Linked DNA regions of Sus scrofa. The protein of the gene in region 2 interacts with the protein of the main gene of each other region in a pairwise test. Links are inferred from orthologs where the notes say so. Each region holds a gene or a part of one and is shown on either strand. Other genes may lie near its edges.

Region 1 (4,022 bases), about 32 Mb from region 2:
TTGATACCCTATCCACCCTCACTCTGCCTAAAAAAAAAAAAGAGTATTGTATATACTTAAACATTATTTGCCGCTTTCACATAAATAAAATGCCTTTAATGTGAATGAAAGGATACAGGCAAATAAACAGCTAACTAAAAATTGCAAGTGTTATAAGCAAGTGTGATTGAAACATAATGAATCAGATTGTTAACTCCCAAGAGAGAAAGCAGTATATTTTTAGGAGCCACCAATAATGTGTTAGTGAGACCCAACTCCTCCAGGACTTGCTCATAATCTAATGGTTCTGTTCTGCTCTTTCCAGCTGGTGTTTTTTAACATCCCCTTGATGGCTTACCTGTGTTGGAGTTTGCTGCAGCGGTGCTTTGGTCACAACTTCAGGTCTCATCTCCGTCAAGGAAAATACTTGAAAATTATACCTGTTCATCTACTTATGTTACTGCTGTACATCTGGCAGATTTATTCCTGCTACTTTCTTCATATGACATATGGCACTCTAGCTTTATTATTCTCCCCTTTGCGGACCTGGCTGACACTGGTGACACCTGTTCTCATTCGTTGTGTGTGGACACTGAACTCCACAGAGCTTGGAACCTTCATAGTGCAGTTAAAAAGCCACCTGAGTTCCTGAAGGCCATGTCTCATCATCCAGCTCTAGCCCAGGCCTCTGCCCCCCGAAACAGGCGGAAGGCCAATACTAGTAGGCAAGCTTCAGGGAGCTGCTGTTTCTTGGCCGCCTGGGAGGTGGGGGGATTCCCCACTACTGATTTCCTGCATAATGGACTGCAGGAAAAAAATCTCTAAATAATGCCATGATTCCTTCCTTCCCTAAGAAGGCAGAAGGTTGATTTACTTTTGTGAAGAGAGAGCCCTAATCTAGGAGATCCACAGGGCAGGAGCTGGTGTGTTTGGTAGTATGTGAACCCAGTGTTTTTTTAACGTTACCTCATGTAAAGTACCTAGCACAGTGTCTGGAACTCAGCAGGGGACAAGGGCGCCACCACTTGAGGGGCAGGGAACCAGTGCAAACTTGGGCCTGACCCTGACTACCCTTGATTAGTTCCTGGTCCTCTTTTCCCACAGGGTTCTCTGCTTCCTCTGTCGGAGGTGTTTGCCACTAATCAAATAAATGAATAATGAATAAGAAATAACTCTGCGTCGCCTTGCGTGTGTGGTCAGGGCCCGGCGCGGGGGTGGAGTCACGTCGGGGCGGGGCGGGCGGCTTCTCTTGTTGCCGGAAGCGAACCCGCATCCGTGACGCCCGGAAGTGGAGTGGCTACTGCTGTGCGGCTCAGGCGGCTTCCGTGGCAGCTAAGTACGCTGGCTCCCAGAGTCCTACTGGGATGGCGAATGCAGCTCCCCCTGATGCTCCAGTCCCCACCCTGGCTGTGCCTTTGGAGCAGCTCCGGCACCTAGCAGAGGAGCTTCGGTTGCTCCTTCCTGGAGTGCGGGGTGAGCTGACACAGTGGAGACGGACCCCCACAGGGACCGGCGTGGGTAGGGAGAAGCCGGGCCAGGGCGGCGGCGGCACCAGGGAGCGAGGGATGGGGGAGTCGGGGGAGGGGAGGGCGGCAGGGCCCGGCGGGAGCGGAGGAAATGGGGGCCTCAGGTAGCGCCGCTTACCTCTGCTCTTCCTTTTGCGGTGGCCCGGCCCACACGCCGAACCCACTAGTCGGCGAAGCCCGGGAGACTACCAAGGAGTTTAATCGGGAGACCTTTTGGAGAAGATTCAGTGAGTGCCTCTCTTGTTGGAGACTGCCATCTCTCATCTCTTCAGTTGTCCCTGTCCCTTTCCTTCCTGCTTTTCCCCGGCCTGTCCCCTCTGTGGGGATACCTCATCTTACCCATTCTCGGCATCTCTGAGGTTGAGATTTAAAACACTGATTTTTGGAGGTGTTTTGAGACGTCTAAGCCGGCAAGGGTGGAGAGGGAACGTGTTATCTTCACAGCCCGTCCAGCAGCTGCAGCCTTATCCGTTTGGCACTAACATACTGGCTTCTGCCTCCTCCTCTGACTCTTCCCAGATGAGGCAGCTGTGACAGTGTCCACGGAAGCCACTACTCTGACCGTAGTCTTTTCCCGACTTCCACTGCCATCTCCTCAGGTGGGCTTTACTTTTCTGGAATCCTTGTAGTGCCTCTTTATTCTTTAGGAATCCTTTCATTTTCTTTCATGTTTTACACTCAAAGCAAGGGATTTCTTTCTTCCTTCCTCCCACCCTCCCTTTCTCCCGGACTTCCTTCTTTCCTCCTTTCTTTCTTTCCTGCACCCGCAGCTCTCGGAAGTTCCTAGGCCAGGAATCAAACATGAGCCACAGCAGTGACAACACCAAATCCTTAATTGCTAGGAGATCAGGAAACTCCTTAGCGTGGAATTTAGTTTTCTCATCTGTCAAGTAAGATTGCATATCTTATTGACTTCATAGGAACATTAACCTCAAGAGTTCTCATATCACAGGAATATTCTGAAAACCAAGTTGTCAGGTGCAGTACTTGACATGGAGTAGGCAGCTCTTCTAAACATTGGTTCTTTTTTTGTGTTTGCTTTTTAGGGCTGTACCTGTGGCATATGGAAGTTCCCATGCTAGGGGCCAAATTGGAGCTGCAGCTGTCAGCCTATGCCACAGCCACACCAGATCCAAGCCAGTCTGAGACCTACACCACAGCTCATAGCAACGCTGGATTCTTAACCCACTGAGCGAGGCCAGGGTGAAACTCGAGTCCTCATGGATACTAGTTGGGTTTGTTACCACTGAGCCACAACAGGAACTTCAGTGAGTTCAATGAGGTTCAAAATGAACCTCAATATTGGTTCATTTTGAGGTTCATCCTGGTTATTTCCTTTCTGATAATTTTTTATTTTAAGCACTTGCTATTTACTGGGTGTTTTCAGATACATGATCCCTATTTGACAGATGAACAAGCAGGCTCAAAGGCTTCGGTTAAGGTAGATAAGTAGGGGTGCTAGGATTAAAATTAGGTTCTGGGATTCTCTTGTGGCTCAGCAGGTTAAGGATCTGGCATTGTGACTGCTGTGGCTCTGGTTACAGCTGTGGCAAGTGTTCCATCCCTGGCCCAGGAACTTTGGCATGCTGTGGGCCCAGCCAAAAACAAAAACAAAATAAATTAGGTTCTGTCTCATGTCTAAGCTACACCTATTCTGTTATACTACAAAACACCTTTTTTATATTGAATTATTTTTTATAATTAGTAACGATGAATTAGTATAAAATTCAAAAGATATCAAAACCTAAATTAAGTGTGCTGAAAAGTTTATATCTCCCCTCGCTTATTCCTTTTGTGTTATTCCCTATATATACTATGAATATACCCACTTAACGTGTATGTGCCTACTTCTTCTTATGGTAAAATATCTTAAACATTTTTCTGGACTTTCCTTTTTTTTAAAAAAATTTAACAACATAGCTTGAAAATTGATTTTTAGAAGTAGGTATAAAGTTGCTCAATTCTTTGTAATGGCTGTGTGATATTCAATAGTGTGGATATAACTATAGTTTATGTTTGTCTTTTTTTTTTTTTTTTTTTTTTGGTCTTCTCTAGGGCTGCACCTGCGACATATGGAGGTTCCCAGGCCAGGGGTCCAATTGGAGCTGTAGCTGCCAGCCTACAGCACAGCCACAGCAAAGCCAGATCCAAGTTGCATCTGCAACCTCCACCACAGCTCACAGTGGAGCAATCCTTAACCCACTGAGCGAGGGCAGGGATCAAACCCGCATCCTCATGGATCCTAGTCGGGCTCCTTGCCACTGCACCATGATGGGAACTGCCAACCATAGTTTATTTAACCAGTACTGTGTGGACATTTAAGCTGTTTCCAACTTGTAACTGTTATAAACAGTGCTGTTCTAAATTGCCTAACACAATCTTTGTTTATATCTGTATATCAGTAAAAATTCCTAAAAATGGAATTGCTAGATAAAAGAGTGTATGCTTTAGTGTAAAAACCTTGAAAGTAAATATTGTTGGCTGTGGCCAGGTATGCTCTATGTCCAGTATTTCTTG
Region 2 (3,514 bases):
TGTTCTCCATGTTTTAATGTCATTTATGCTACTGTAATGTAAGCAAATTTCAGTTGAGGTATCTTTTAGGATTGAGGACTTTGGGAAAGATGCATTGCATTTCTTGCTTGGGAGGAAACTTCCTGAAAAGTTGTCATAGTCGTCATAGTCCTTATTATGTATGAAACCTTGACTGTGACTGGTGTGTCATGAGATAGACCCCAGATTTTCTTGTTTTCCTTCTTCATTTTCCATAGCATAGGGCTAAGATAAATAAAATCTTCCACTTACACATGTGGGGAATGAAGCGAGTTAAAGTATAGTGATCTTGGTATTTGTGACATACGCTGCTATTAGAGTGTGATTTAGAGCCATACTGTCCAGTGTGGTAGCTACTAGCCACATGTGACTCCCTAAGCTCTTGAAATGGGTTAGTCTGAATTGAGTTATGCTCTCAGTATAAAATACACAGTGGATATTGAAGTCTTAGTATGAAAAATATCTCATGGGCATTTAAAAATGACTTTTTAAATCACAGAAATTGCTTACATGTTGAAATAATACTTTTGATATTTTGGGTTAAATAAAGCATATTATTCAAATTAATTTAAAATTTATTTTCATGTGGCTACTGGAAAATTTAGAATTATATAGATGGTTCCTGTTTCTTTCTTCCTTTTTTTTTTTTTTTTTTTTTTTTAGGGCCGCACCTGCAGGATGTGGAGGTTCCCAGGCTAGGGATCTAATTGGAGCTGCAGCTGCCGGCCTACACCATAGCCACAGCAACGTGGGATCCGAGCTGCGTCTGCGACCTACACCAGAACTCAGGCAATGCCAGATCCATAACCCACTGAACGAGGCCAGGGATTGAACCCACATTCTCATGGATCCTAGTTGGGTTCATTAACTGCTGAGCCATGAAGGGAACTCCCTCTGGTCCCTGTTTCTATTGGATAGCTCTATCAAGAGTATAAAGTGGTTTGCTAGAATTACAACTTAATATTCTCTGACTTGTACAGTATGAAATTTGGAGACGTAGTATATGAAGTAGAATTATAATTCAGCATGTCCATGCAGATTACTCTGATTTATTTAAATTTATTTGCATTTTGGAAAACTAGCAAGTGTTCTCAACAACTATTTTAAAAGCCAGTCAGAGTTTTAACAGGTGCGCCTGGGCTGTCAGTGAAACTTGAAAGTGCAGAAGGGAAGATTATTGTGAATCACTGGCAACTGTAGGTACTGCTCCTCCATACTTAGCAGGTTGAAAAGGAATCCCAGCCAGCTGTAGGGTGTGCAACGCCAAGGGAGGGGACAGGGAAGGTCTCCCTAATGTCAGTTTCTGAAAGAGCTTTTGGTCAGATCCAGATCTTACTCTTTCTGGCCAGGTGATGCCTGTGTGGTACAGTTCACTCTGACCCCAGTGTAGTTTACCTCCACGTTCAGAGTTGACTGAAAGTGACTTGAGAGGGATTTATGAGGCAACAAGTGGTCGGAAGAATTTACTAGGTTTTGTTGAATAAATAGAAGGTGAGAACGTAAAGCAAGAACCACTTATGATCTTTTATGTCTGAGAACAAGTCGGTAGAGTGGCAAGGAGGGAATCTTGCCCTTTAAGATTTACAACCACTCATATTCTTTCTGTTCAAGGTGTTTTTCACATTGGATACTTGGCTGGGAATTTCAGTCAGTTTAGAAGTTTGCTAAATAAGATGGATGTGATTTTTAGCTTTAATACTTAAAAATATCCTACTGAAGTTATCTGTTCCTTAAGAATTGAATTGGGGTGAAAATTGGATTTTTGGATTACAATTCTGCCTTGATTTTGTAGATTTCCTGTTTAGTATCAGAAGTTACAGATAATAGGGTTGCAGAAACCTAATTTTTGTTTAGTTTATTGTGTTAATACTGTAACAGACATTACATTGTGTATTGATAGGGCTTAGTTTTGACGAGGAACATTTTCATTGGTTATAGATTTCATAGTCATAAAGCAAATATGGGTTAACACTTGAGCATAATCAGATAATGAGGTGGTTAATAGAAACCAATAGATCATAGTATACCAAAATTGAGTACAGCAAAACATAATTAACACGATAACTTGAAGTAATTGGGAGAGGGTATGGCTTTATAAAGAGTAACAATTTTAAGTAATATGTGAAAATGCTGGTTACTAGCACATGCCTGTGGATGAATGCTGGATAAAAAATCAGATTTTACAGTATGTTTTAGATAGGGTTTTTATAATGCTTGAGGCTGACTTGGCTTATATCCCTTTTTTTTTCCTTTCCTTTTAGAATATGGTTTCTAGTTTTAGGGTTTCTGAACTACAAGTGTTACTAGGCTTTGCTGGACGGAATAAAAGTGGACGCAAGCATGACCTCCTGATGAGGGCGCTGCATTTATTGAAGAGCGGCTGCAGCCCTGCGGTTCAGATTAAAATCCGAGAACTGTATAGACGCCGATACCCACGGACTCTTGAAGGCCTTTCTGATTTATCCACAATCAAATCATCGGTCTTCAGTTTGGATGGTAGCTCATCGCCTGTAGAACCTGACTTGGCTGTGGCTGGAATCCACTCGTTGCCTTCCACTTCAGTTACACCTCACTCACCGCCCTCTCCTGTTGGTTCAGTGCTGCTTCAAGATACTAAACCCACCTTTGAGATGCAGCAGCCATCTCCCCCAATTCCTCCTGTCCATCCTGACGTGCAGTTAAAAAACTTGCCCTTTTATGATGTCCTTGATGTTCTTATCAAGCCCACAAGTTTAGGTAAGTGGTAGAGAAATCAGTTTCTTCTGGACAAGCGAGTAAATAAAGCAAGAGGCCTTCAACTATTAATGGTTTGCTATTAATAGTATAAAATTGAGGCATTAAAATGCCAAATGTCTAAATGTATAGATTTAAAAAAATTGGGAGTTCCCATCATGGCTTAGTGGTTAACGAACCCAACTAGCATCCATGAGGGCCAGGGTTCAATCCCTGGTGTTGCTCCGTTGGTTAAGGATCAGGTGTTGCTGTTAGCTGTGGTATAGGTGGCAGACGTGGCTCAGATCTGGTGTGGCTGTGGCTGTGGCTGGCGGCTGTAGCTCTGATTAGACCCCTATCCTGGGAACTTCCATGTGCCATAGGTGCGGCCATAAAAAGACCCAAAAAAAAAAAAAAAAAAAAAAAAGGCAACCATGACAGAAATCTAATATAAAACTTTTATTGATCAAGCTTTCTTTTTATAGCTTAGAACTCAAATTGCTTCTGTGTGTTTATGGACAGATGCAAATCTTATTTATTGCCTATGATTTCCACCTTTTGATACTTTTGATATTTTTACAAAAAGACTTCGTTTCTGTTTAACAGTTTCTGCTTTTAAACTGTTTTCCTAAGAAATAATCCTTTTATACTTTTTCCTAAAGTGACAGCGTTTGAGACATGCTTTATTTTTTATTTATTTATTTATTTTTGTCTTTTTGTCTTTTCTAGGGCTGCACCTGCAACATATGGAGGTTCCCAGGTTAGGGGTCTAATTGGAGTTGTA
Region 3 (3,514 bases), on a different chromosome or scaffold from region 2:
TTCGCTCTTTGGTATTATAGATTTCCTTTAGTAACTACAAAGGCATTTTACTAGACCCTTAGGCTAGTGTAATAGAATACTTGAAAATGCAAGCAGCCTCTTAGGCTCTGCATTGAGCACCTTTCAGCCCATTCCTGGCAATTACATTTTTCCTAAATCGTTAAGGTGTTCTGAATTCCCTCCCGTGTATCAGTATGGAGAAGAGGACTCTTAGGTGAAGTGTGATTGCTCCCTTGAAATGGTTTGAAGGACTAACAGACAATAGATTGGGCTTTCTCTGTGTAGTTACATGTAGGATGAATAATAATGCCTAAAAAGTCAGAAAAAGGTAGATTATGAGACTGATGCACTGCCTACTGCACTAAGGAGGCAACTAGAAGAAGGTGGATTAGCTTTTGGTTTCATAACAACTGGAAGTACTTAGCAATGGTGCCAGTTAGCATGTGGAGTAGGGTAGTGAGGTCCCCATCACTGGAAGTATGTAAGCACTCTCAAGCCAAGATTCTACAACAGGATAGTTCTTTCTCTATCACCAGGCAAAAAGTGTTCCTTATCTGTCACCAGACATTGTGGTGAAGGTTAATAATGTGTTCACTTATTTATTTTGATAATACTTGAAATATCTAAGGATTGTTTAGAGGACAGAAACCAAACACATTACTTTGGGTAGCCAGATGACAGGAAAACCTGCTTATCATAATATGATAATATGTAGTAGTATCTTCTCTTCAGAGATGCTTGTTCCATAGGGTTTTTAAATTTGTTTATGCTGGAGTATAGCTGATTTACAATGTGGTGTTAGTTGAAGGTGTACAGCAAAATAATTCAGTTATACATATACATATATCCATTCTTTTTCAGATTATTTTCCCATATAGCTTATTACAGAAAATTGAGTAGACTTCCCTGTGCTATACAGTAGGTCCTTATTGATTATCTACTTTATATGTATAGTCGTATGTATCTGTTAATTCCAAACTCCTACTTTATCCCTCCCCACTGTGTTTCCCCTTTGGTAACCATAAGTTTGTTTTCCAAGTCTGTGAATCTGTTTCTATTTTGTAAATGAGTTCATTGGTATCTCTTCTTTTCTCTTTTTTTTTTTTTTTTCGATTCTACACATAGGTGATATCATATGATATTTGTCTTGACTTACCTCACTTAGTATGATAATCTCTGTGTCCATCCATGTTGCTGCAAATGGCACTATTCCATTCTTTTTATGGCTTAAGTAATATTGCATTGTGGGTATGTACCACACATTCTTTATCCAGTCTTCTGTGGATGGGCATTTGGTTTACGTCCCATGTCTTGGCTATTGTAAATAGTGCTGCAGTGAATATTGGGTGCATGTATCTTTTTATATTATGGTTTTCTCTGGATATATGCCCAGGAGTGGATCATATGGTAGTTCTATTTTTATTTTTTTAAGGGACCCCCATAATGTCCTCTATAGTGGTTGCACCAATTTACATTCCCCACCCCCCGCCACAGTGTAGGAGGGCTCCCTTTTCTCCACACCTTCTCCAGCATTCTTTGTAGAGTTTTTGATGATGGCTCTTCTGACTGGTGTGAAGTGATACCTCATTGTGGTTTTGATGTGCAGTTCTCTAATAGGGATGTTGAGCACCTTTTCATGTGCCTTTTGTCCATCTGTATCCATCAGAGTTTTAGTGGATAGAATGAAGCCCTTACATTACTAGAGCATGAACTTTAAGACCTTTGACTTTAAGACAATTTCTCCATCCTACTCTCTAGCCCTCTGTCAAGAGAAGAGGGAATCGTGTGCCATTCCCTGTATTCTGATAGCACGTTTTTGGTCCTGGGCAGTGGAGGAGATGACAGGGAAAAGCATTTGTGTGTGACTGTCACAGAGACACAGTTCACACACAGACTGTCTGGTCTGACACCTTGTGAATGTATCACTGGGTTTTGTGTGTATCACTGGGAAGTACTGGTTCTCTGGCTCTAAACGACGCATCTTCCAGGCTAGGCTTCCATGTGACAATAAATCTGTGAAGATACATTGCCCAGGCCACCTCCAGATCTAGACTCCTGTTCCTGATTATACATGTTTGCCTAGAGATCAAAGAAACCAAATCCTTTGGAACTGAACTGTCATAAATGGAGTGCCTGCTTTGTGCTGGGGGTCATGGATACAGAGGTGATTAAGACACAGCCCTTTTCCCTCTAGCTGTTTCCTGGGCAAGGGCAATTTTCTAGTTACTTCATTTATGGAAGGAAAAAGGAAGCAAGATCTTGGACCAGCGAGGGATAGGCCTGGAGAAAATTACTCCCCATCTCCCTTTTGGCTCAGATCCAGGGTCTCAGCTGCAGCCTGGAACATGAAGGTGAAGCCTTTGCAACACCAGGGCTCAGGCCCACTGTGTGGCAGCCTTTCCCAGTGGAGCCATTTCAGTAAGAAGGATCATGCCCCCACCCCAGGGACTCTGGCTGGCACTGTGCCCCACCTTCCTCTAACAACCCACCCTTGGCCTTGGGTGTTCAACCCACACAACCCTTTGTCTCTTCACAGACTCTTTGGTGGGAAGCCTGCCAAGCAAGTGCCCATCGCCACAGCCGAAAACATGAAAAACTCAGTGGTCATCTCCAACCCTCATGCCACCTTGAGCCAGCCAGGTAACTTAGAGTCCCCCTCGGGCAGCGGCGTCCTGAGCAGCGGGAGCAGCAGCCCTCTCTACAGTAAGAATGTGGACAGCACCCAGTCCCCTCTAGCCTCCAGCCCCAGTTCCGCCCACTCGGGCCCCTCCAACAGCCTCACCTGGGGCACCAACGCCAGCAGCTCCTCGGCCGTCAGCAAGGATGGCCTGGGCTTCCAGTCGGTCAGCAGCCTCCACACCAGCTGCGAGTCCATTGACATCTCCCTCGGCAGCGGAGGGGCACTGAGTCACAACTCCTCCACCGGCCTCCTCGCCTCCTCCAAGGACGATGCCCTTACCCCCTTTGTCAGAACCAACAGTGTGAAGACCACACTGTCTGAAAGGTTGGTGCCGTGCGCTTGGCTGCCTTTACCTCCCCAAAGACGCCCTTTCAAGAGCCAGAAGATTACGTTAGGAAGCCCAGAGGTGAATTCACCTTGGCTACAAGATTTCTCTCTGATCACTGCCATCTTTCCACGGGGCAGCCAGTTTGGGGGTGGAGTTAAGCCCGGCTCTGCTTCCTCTTATCTTTCTCATTGTGGTTATTCTTAGTGCGCGGAGCGGCTAGAAGTCTCAGGGGGCAGATGTCATACTTCCATGCAAAACGGCTTTCCGCCTTTGAGGTCCTTCCATTTTACTATGCTTGTTTGTCCACTGCGTCTTTCTCCACCCCTCGTGGTTGCGCAGGCGCAGTAGGTGGCGGCGGCAGCCTTGGAGCGTGGGGGGCGGGGTACCCCTTAAGCAGCTAAGCAGATGCGCTGGTCCTCGGGGCCAACACCGTCTTACCGAAGGGCTGCGGGCCAGTGTGATGGAAAATCAGGAAACCAGAATGGTCCTCAGAGCTCTGAGTCTCA
Region 4 (4,059 bases), on a different chromosome or scaffold from region 2:
GATAGAAGGGGTGGATGGATCTGAAATCTTGAGGGGCAGCAGGGTCCAGGTTCCTGGCTCCCAGTTTGGACCCACCGGCTCCTAAGTTCCCAAACCCATCCATCTCCAGAGGGCTTTCCCAGCTTCTCAACCTGATGCGTGGGAACTTAAAGGAGATAAATCTCTAGCGTGTGAGCGAGGTGAGGGGGTGGCCAGGGAAACAGCGTGTCACAGGAACAGAGATGGGAGGTGGGACAGCCAGCTCATTCATAACTGCTTTGTGGAGCTGTCAAGGCCTGGCTCTGGGGGTGGAGGTGCAGGGAGGCTGAGCCAGGACAGCGGCGGCATGAGCCTAATGAGACTGAGAGCGTCTCAGGGAGAGGACCAGAGAGTCAGCGCCTGACCCCCTTGCCCTATCAGGGGGCGCACGTTCCTTCCGTTGTCCCCACACTGCTGGACAGAGGTCTCCATTGACCCTCCGGACAAAGGGCTGATTGGGATTCCAGCCCACGGCCCCACAGCTCCAGGCGGGGGATGGGGAAGGTGGGAATGCAGACGACTGGGTTCCGAGGGGAGGGCTCCAGGGGGCCATTGAGAATGAGGCTGGCAAAACCCACAACCCAGGCTGTTCCTTGAGGGTAGGGAACAGGTTTGTTCTTCAAATTCCCAGCGTCTAGCGAGCACTGGAAGGAGAATACGGAGCGAGGAAAGGCCTGGGATATGGGGTCTAAGAGTTAGAAGACAGGGGACTTTCTGCTGTGGCTCAGCAGATTATGAACCCCAACTAGAATCCACGAGGACGTGGGTTTGACCTCTAGCCTAACTCCGTGGGTTAAGGATCCGGCGTGGCCGTGCACTGCGGTGTAGGCCGGCAGCTGCAGCTCTGATTCAACCCCTAGCCTTGGGAACTTCCATATGCTGTGGGTGCAGCCCTAAAAAGACAAAAGAAAAAAAAAAGTTAGAAGACAGGTCAGAGGTCATCAGGTCCAGCCCTTCCCTGACCCAAATCACAGAGAAGAGGTCTCCTTGCCCAGGGATCAGGTCCCCAGACCCAGCATCAGCCCCACGAACTGCCCACTGGTTCCTCTGTCTGCAGCCAGGCCTGCCTCTGGGCAGTGACCCCGATGGGGTGAGAGGCGCTCTCCTAACGGCTGGGCTGCAGCCCAGCCCCACCCCCTCAGGCTATGCCAGGGGGGCGTTGCCAGGGGCAGCCTGGGCCGTGCCAGGCCGGCCCACTCCTCCATAAAGCCTGCACATCCCCAGGGGCAGCAGAGCCAGGCCAGGATGGAGAGGAGACGGGTCACCTCAGCGGCTCGCCGCTCCTATGTCTCCTCCTTGGAAACGGTGGGGGGCGGCCGCCGCCTGGGTCCTGGCCCCCGCCTGTCCCTGGCTCGAATGCCGCCTCCACTCCCGGCCCGGGTGGACTTCTCCCTGGCCGGGGCCCTCAACACTGGCTTCAAGGAGACCCGGGCCAGTGAGCGGGCAGAGATGATGGAACTCAACGACCGCTTCGCCAGCTACATCGAGAAAGTGCGCTTCCTAGAGCAGCAGAACAAGGCGCTGGCTGCCGAGCTGAACCAGCTGCGGGCCAAGGAGCCCACCAAGCTGGCCGACGTCTACCAGGCCGAGCTGCGAGAGCTGCGGCTGCGGCTCGACCAACTCACCGCCAACGGCGCCCGGCTCGAGGTGGAGAGGGACAACCTGGCGCAGGACCTGGGCACCCTGAGGCAGAAGTGAGGAGGGGGCCGTGGAGAGGGGCTGAGGAGGGGGCCTCGTGATCAGGGAGGACTGAGCTCCCGAGGGGGAGCACCTGCAGGCAGGCAGACCTGCAGGGTCTCAGGCAGGGGCTCTGCCTCTCTGCCCCCCGGTTTCCCACCTCTGGGAGGGGAGGGCTCTCCTTGCTCCCCAAGGTGATGGAGGGTCTAGGGGAAAGGAGGCCCAGAGTCTCAGGCGTCTGGTTCCCAAAGACCTTCCTCCAGGGAGCCGGGGTATTCCCAGAGCTTCCCTGCTGAGGAAAGCTGTGCGGGACAGTCAGAGACCCCAGCAGGCAGGGGTCTCTGCCTTTCTTTCACTGTAGGGCCTTGTGACGGTGGACGGGGGGCATGCTGTGTGAATGTGAGCCCAGATCTGTCTAAAGGAGGAGCTGGAAGGAGATTTGGGGTGCACCAGGAGGACTGGGCTCGAGGGTAAAGGAAATAGGGGAAAGAGCAGGCAGGCCTGGCTTCAGAACACAGGCAGCTCTGCCTGTCACCAGCTTATGACCCTAGAAGGACACTTCAGCTTGCACAGCTGTGAAGTGGAGACCTTAATAAAACCCATTTCTAAAAGTCAGAGGAAACCCCAGGGCCATGGTGCTAGCCAAACTTGCAGGGGATGCGTGTGTGCCCTCAAGTGCTGGAGGATGTGTGTGTGTGTGTGTGTGTGTGTGTGTGTGTGCGCAGCAGTGATTGTACATTGGTGGAAGCACCTGTGTAAGCAGGAACAGGTGCACCAACCCTGATAAGCACCTTGGTAATGAGTTCAAGCCAAGGCCTTTGTCTGCTCAGCCTCCTGGCCAAGACTCTGCCTAGGATCATTCTGCCCCCCTCACCCACTCCCTCTGCCACTCCACTGGTCCTGGGAGTAGGAGGGGGAGGCAGAGGATCCCTCTGGAAGCCACCTCTAAGGAGACTCTGGGCAGGGGTCCAAGAGTCTTCAGAAGAACCTGGACCCAGGAATGTGTCCCCTTCCCCCAGGCTCCAGGATGAAACCAACCTGAGGCTGGAGGCTGAGAACAACCTGGCCACCTATCGACAGGTCAGGGTGATGGAAGGGAGGGACCAGGGAGGGGGAGAGTGTTGATGGCAGCCCACCCAACCAGAGCCCCCAAGCCCAGGCCTCCGGAGCAAAGGAGGGATCAGACGAAACCAGGAAGGGGAGAGGAGGAGTCTGGAGTCAGAGCAGCCCCTTGTCCCCCACCCTACTCCAGGAGGCGGATGAAGCCACCCTGGCCCGGCTGGATCTGGAGAGGAAGATCGAGTCTTTGGAGGAGGAAATCAGGTTCTTGAGGAAGATCCATGACGAGGTAAGGCCAGGACAGAGGGAGGAAAGGCCCACACAGAGAGGGGAACTGAGGGAAAGAGACAGAGAAACAGAGAGATTGAGACAGAGATATTCAGAGACAGAGAGAAAGAGACAGAGGAGGTCCTGTGTGGCTCAGCGGGTTAAAATCTGGCACAGTGTCCATGAGGATGCCAGTTCTATGCCTGGCCTCGCTCAGTAGGTTAAGGATCCGGCGTCGCTGCGAGCTGCGGTGTAGTTCATAGATGCAGCTCGGATCTGGCCTTGCTGTGGCTGTGGTGTAGACCACAACTGCAGCTCCAATTTGACCCCTAGCCTGGGAACTTCCATATGCCTCGAGTGTGACCCTAAAAACAACAGAAAGAGAGGGAGATTGACAGAGGAAGAAAATGAAAGAGAGAGAGAGAGAAGACAGAGAGAGACTGAGGGAAACAAAGATAGAGATAAGAGACCCCCGGCCCAGCCCCCGGCCCCTGGTAAAATGCACACAGACACAGACTCCACTTACTGAGAACTGCAATGGGCCGAGTTGCCTCCCGCTTTTCTTCAGGGCCGTCCTGTGAGACAGGAACTCTCCCAGTGTTGTCTCCTTTTCACAGAAGACACTGACGCCCAGAGAGGTTAAAGAACGTGCCAGTGTCACCCAGTTAGTCTCTGACTCCAGCCCCTCTGCCGCCTGTCTCCATTCACATGACAGCCACTCACGTGAAAAAAAAAAAAAAAAAGACCACTAAGCTCTGACTTCAGATTATGGCTTCAGAATCTGTGACTTTATGGAACCTGGGAACCCATAGGCACACCCATTCCACAGGGACTCGGTCACTCTCCCAGGGGATCACAGACTCACTGTCTTCCGGGCCTGAGAGGAGCACGTTAACTACCCCAAACTGCCCCTAGCCTGGGTCATGCCACTTCCTCTGACTAGGCGTGCCCCATCTCCCTGAGCCAACATCCGTGTCTGAGGGCAGCAGAAGAGAGCATGAGGCCGTAGGGACACTCCAGTGACAGCCTGGTCCCTGA
Region 5 (3,969 bases), on a different chromosome or scaffold from region 2:
TTTGTCTCCAATCCACACTACTCTCCACCTATTTAGAGGGTGCCTCAGACCCTCCTTTCCCAAAGCCAGATTCATCACCTTACCTTCCAAACCTACTTCTCAATCCTCCAGGGTTCTCCTATTCCATAAAAGGTATCTGAGCCACGCAACGACTCAAACCAGAAACCTGCCTCATGCCCCCCCCCACTCCTCTACAGCCAAACAATTTCCAAGATTCTAATCCACCCCTTCTTTTCCGTAACTATTGCCACTGCCTCATCATCTTCAAGACAGAAACAGTCTTCTCATCAGTTGTTCCCTCTCCAGTCCAAGCTCCATACTGACTACTTTTTTTTTTTTTTTTTTTTGTCTTTTTGCCTTTTCTTGGGCCGCTCCCACGGCATATGGAGGTTCCCAGGCTAGGGGTCGAATCGGAGCTGTAAACACTGGCCTACGCCAGAGCCACAGCAACTCGGGATCCGAGCTGTGTCTGCAACCTACACCACAGCTCACGGCAACGCCGGATTGTTAACCCACTGAGCAAGGGCAGGGACCGAACCCGCAACCTCATGGTTCCTAGTCGGATTTGTTAACCACTGCGCCACGACGGGAACCCCATACTGGCTACTTTCTATAGCCAGTAAACCCCATCCTATTAAATCCTGCTCATGAAGTTTTATCTCCTACTGCAGTGTTTCATATTCTGCTTATAAGACGTAACTGTCCTGCTGGACTTTAAGGGAAGCTATTCATAGAAAAATCATGGTAAACAAGTTTCTTTTTGGTGGTTCTTATCAGAACCTTTAATATGATAATGATTATGGTGACTCTTAAGAGCTGAAGAGCTTTTTTTATATCATGTGACTGGAGAAGTGGTTTCTTCACTGAACACCTAAAAAGAACTAGTCTTCCATAGCATATATTTTTGACAAATGCTGGCCTAAAGGATAAAATCAAAGGCCCACAAATCCTTCCATGTTTCACCCTTTTCCAGGGGCCTCCCCAACCAACCTCCAGCCTCATTCTCTATCACTCCCCCCTCCCACACCCCCACAAGCACACCATACAGCCCTACTCTAACACTGAGCTCCCTGCCACTTTCCAAATATAACACATAATCTCCTCATACCACAGAACTTATTTTTGAGTGTTGCTCTGCCTCTCCCACCTAGTTAACTCCTTCTCATCCCTTAAAACTCACCCAAAAGCCACCTTACCCTAACAATCTCCAAAAGAAGCCTCTTCCTCAGTCTCACATTACCCAAGCACCCTGAGATCTTTATTAGAACACCTACCACCCTGTGAGTAAAAACCTATTTACTTATCTAGATCCCTCACCAAATAATAAATTTTTTTCAGAGAAAGGTCTCTGCCTAATGCCATCTCCAAGGCCAAGAAAACTAAGTGAATAATTTAAAAAAAATCATACTTCACAAAAGATCACCTAAAGGGCCCCTATTCTTATAGAACCTACAAGACACATCAAAGGTGTAGATCTCTGCTGTCCAAATAATCAAATGTGGTTACTGAGCACTTAAAATGTGGCTAGGCCAAGACAAATTGGGATGTGATAAAACTGCAAAACACCCACCAGATTTTGAAAACTTAATACTAAAAAAAAATGTAATACATCTCGTTAATAATGTTTTATATTGATTACATGTTGAAATACTTTGGATATATTGAGTTGAACAATATTCATTTCACCTGCTTTTTATATCAAAGTGGTTGCTGAAAAATTTTTAATTACATGATGTGACTGGCATTATATTTCGATTTGGACAGCGCTGGTGGATACTTTCATATCCATGTTACAAATTAGGAAACTGAGTCTCAGGGGAGTAAAACGACATATCCAACGCGATACAAGGAGTCAATGGCATGGCCCTAAGGCACTCGAACTCAGGATTCAGACTCTGGTATCAGCAGACAATTGTTCAAGAGGAAGTGCAGATTCACCAAGACCGCCCTCCTCCCCGCGCCCCTAAACAAGTCCTAGGGCCTTAAATTCACTCACCATTGCGGAAGAAATACTCCTCCACTGCACCCCCTAGCCACTCAGCCTTCTCCTGGCTATGCACACCTCCAAAGCCGTTCTCCACAGCGATCTGCGAACACAGGCCCGAGCCCACCACGTCAGCCCAGGAACCGGCCTGCGGTGGCGCAAGGGTCCGCTTCTGACGCCGCCCAACCAACTAAGCCTTGGGCAGCTCACCGGCCAACTCCTGTTCTGGCCCGGTCCCTAACCTTTGTTCCAGCTGTGTCCTCGCTCACCTGCAAGGCGGGCCAAGCCTCCAACGCTGCGCGGATGCCAGCCCGGAAAAGCGTTAGAGACTCCTCTGCAGCGCCCGCCATCATCCTGCTGCGGACCACGTGACGCCCAAGCAGGCCAATCCCTGCGCAGCACCGCCCAGGCAGAAGGAGTAGGAAGCCAAGCTTGAGAACGCAGATTCTCCCTTTCCGCTGATCTGGCAGCAAGACTAGAGCAATAGAAAAGTCTGTCGAGTAATCGATGACACCGCCCGGGTTACTCAAGAAGTGGAAGACGCTTGGGGCCGAGAGTTCCGGACCCGTGGGTATTGCGCAGAAAAGATGTGAGGAACTTATTAAAGATAAAGGACAGAGGAAGCAACCTCAGGTAGCATAGCCTAAAAGTCTGCATTTAGAAATGCATCCTAGGAGTTCCATCTGTGGCTCAGCGGGTTAAGACCCCGACTCATCTCCATGAGGATGCGGCTTCAAGCCCTGGCTTCGCTCAGTGGGTTAAAGGATCTGGCGTTGCCGTGAGCTAAGGTGTAGGTCTCAGGCACAGTTTGGATACGGCGTTGCAGCTGCAACTCCAATTCGACCCCTAGCGGGGGAACCTCCATATGGTGTAGGTGTGGCCCTAAAAAATAAATTAATTGATTGATTAAATAAAATAAAAAAGAAATAAATAACAGAAAGACATTTGTGAAATTCACAAATAGGTGGGAATTAGTACACTTCTAAATAACTAATGGGTCAAAGAAAAAAAAATCGGAAGACGTCTTGAAATGACTTGAAACTAAAGCAGGGCAAGGACCAAAATTATGATCAGTGCTCAGGGTGAATCCACACTTTGAAGGGCCTGAGGCAGATAGAATTTTGTAAGCCCTCTTTAAGAAAAATAGTACAAATTTAGGTGTGCAAGTAAGTATAGCTTTAGATTTATAAAAGAAATTTTTAAATTTACAAATTCCAATTTTTTTTGGGGGGGGGAACATGCCTGTGACATGTGTTAGTTCCCAGGCTAGGGATCCAGCTGGCACCACAGCAGTAACCAGAGCCACAGCATTAACAATGCTGATCCTTAACCCACTGAGCCACTAGGGAATTCCTACAAATTCCAATTAAAAAAACCTGACAAATACCACAAACATCCTCAAAACTAGAGAAATAAAATAATTGCCTGACTCACCTCTCTACTAATTTTTCCTTTATTTTTTATTTTATTATTTTTTTTTGGCTGCCAACATTTTGATATCTTCCTGTAAATAAATAGGACAATTATTTTATAATAACATTTTCAAGAGAGAATAAAAAGAATTCAATTGCATTCAGTTGATCAAAATTTTTTATTATTGTAGTTTAGAAAAGTTTCAACTTCACAGCTCATTGTTAGTAGAATAAAATTTAAGATTGTGTTAAATTTGGGGAAACCTCTAGTTTCTTTTACATGTGAGCTATAAAATTTTATGGTACTTTGTTTTTGTGCAGCAATAATTGTCTCAAATTGACAATGCTCAACAACCAGGGGCTTGGAAGTGTCTTGTGTAAGTGTGAGTTACTAGAGGCTTAAACTTTTAGTTATATTATTTCTGTGATAAATCCATCTCTATGCAATGCTAGAGGAGAAAGGAGCACAGGAAGCTATGGGAGTCCAGCAGAGGGGGTTTCTGATCCAGCCTTGGGAATTATGGCAAATCTCTCAGAGATAATGCCTCTGACTTAAAAGTTTGAGTGGAATTT

Evidence for each region.
Region 1: the proteins of PIAS2 (region 2) and CCNDBP1 interact in binary tests that used the Homo sapiens proteins (3 or more experiments, as listed by UniProt). The two-hybrid records come from large-scale screens. The link is inferred for Sus scrofa from reciprocal best matches to the Homo sapiens genes PIAS2 and CCNDBP1.
Region 3: the proteins of PIAS2 (region 2) and NAV2 interact in binary tests that used the Homo sapiens proteins (3 or more experiments, as listed by UniProt). The two-hybrid records come from large-scale screens. The link is inferred for Sus scrofa from reciprocal best matches to the Homo sapiens genes PIAS2 and NAV2.
Region 4: the proteins of PIAS2 (region 2) and GFAP interact in binary tests that used the Homo sapiens proteins (3 or more experiments, as listed by UniProt). The two-hybrid records come from large-scale screens. The link is inferred for Sus scrofa from reciprocal best matches to the Homo sapiens genes PIAS2 and GFAP.
Region 5: the proteins of PIAS2 (region 2) and TSR2 interact in binary tests that used the Homo sapiens proteins (3 or more experiments, as listed by UniProt). The two-hybrid records come from large-scale screens. The link is inferred for Sus scrofa from reciprocal best matches to the Homo sapiens genes PIAS2 and TSR2.

Annotation. Positions count from the first base shown.
Region 1 is NC_010443.5:128,266,719-128,270,740, reverse strand, and holds the start of CCNDBP1 (cyclin-D1-binding protein 1), read left to right. Parts: upstream 1-1,216; 5' UTR 1,217-1,343; coding exon 1,344-1,497; intron 1,498-1,672; coding exon 1,673-1,732; intron 1,733-2,024; coding exon 2,025-2,104; intron 2,105-4,022. Other genes in the region: TMEM62 (transmembrane protein 62), read left to right, coding at 305-631. UniProt on the Homo sapiens protein: May negatively regulate cell cycle progression. May act at least in part via inhibition of the cyclin-D1/CDK4 complex, thereby preventing phosphorylation of RB1 and blocking E2F-dependent transcription.
Region 2 is NC_010443.5:96,514,775-96,518,288, reverse strand, and holds part of PIAS2 (E3 SUMO-protein ligase PIAS2), read left to right. Parts: intron 1-2,279; coding exon 2,280-2,754; intron 2,755-3,514. UniProt on the Homo sapiens protein: Functions as an E3-type small ubiquitin-like modifier (SUMO) ligase, stabilizing the interaction between UBE2I and the substrate, and as a SUMO-tethering factor.
Region 3 is NC_010444.4:39,331,670-39,335,183, reverse strand, and holds part of NAV2 (neuron navigator 2), read left to right. Parts: intron 1-2,536; coding exon 2,537-3,004; intron 3,005-3,514. UniProt on the Homo sapiens protein: Possesses 3' to 5' helicase activity and exonuclease activity. Involved in neuronal development, specifically in the development of different sensory organs.
Region 4 is NC_010454.4:18,455,032-18,459,090, forward strand, and holds the start of GFAP (glial fibrillary acidic protein), read left to right. Parts: upstream 1-1,249; 5' UTR 1,250-1,263; coding exon 1,264-1,712; intron 1,713-2,714; coding exon 2,715-2,775; intron 2,776-2,947; coding exon 2,948-3,043; intron 3,044-4,059.
Region 5 is NC_010461.5:47,185,455-47,189,423, reverse strand, and holds the start of TSR2 (pre-rRNA-processing protein TSR2 homolog), read right to left. Parts: upstream 2,815-3,969; 5' UTR 2,338-2,814; coding exon 2,254-2,337; intron 2,088-2,253; coding exon 1,997-2,087; intron 1-1,996. UniProt on the Homo sapiens protein: May be involved in 20S pre-rRNA processing.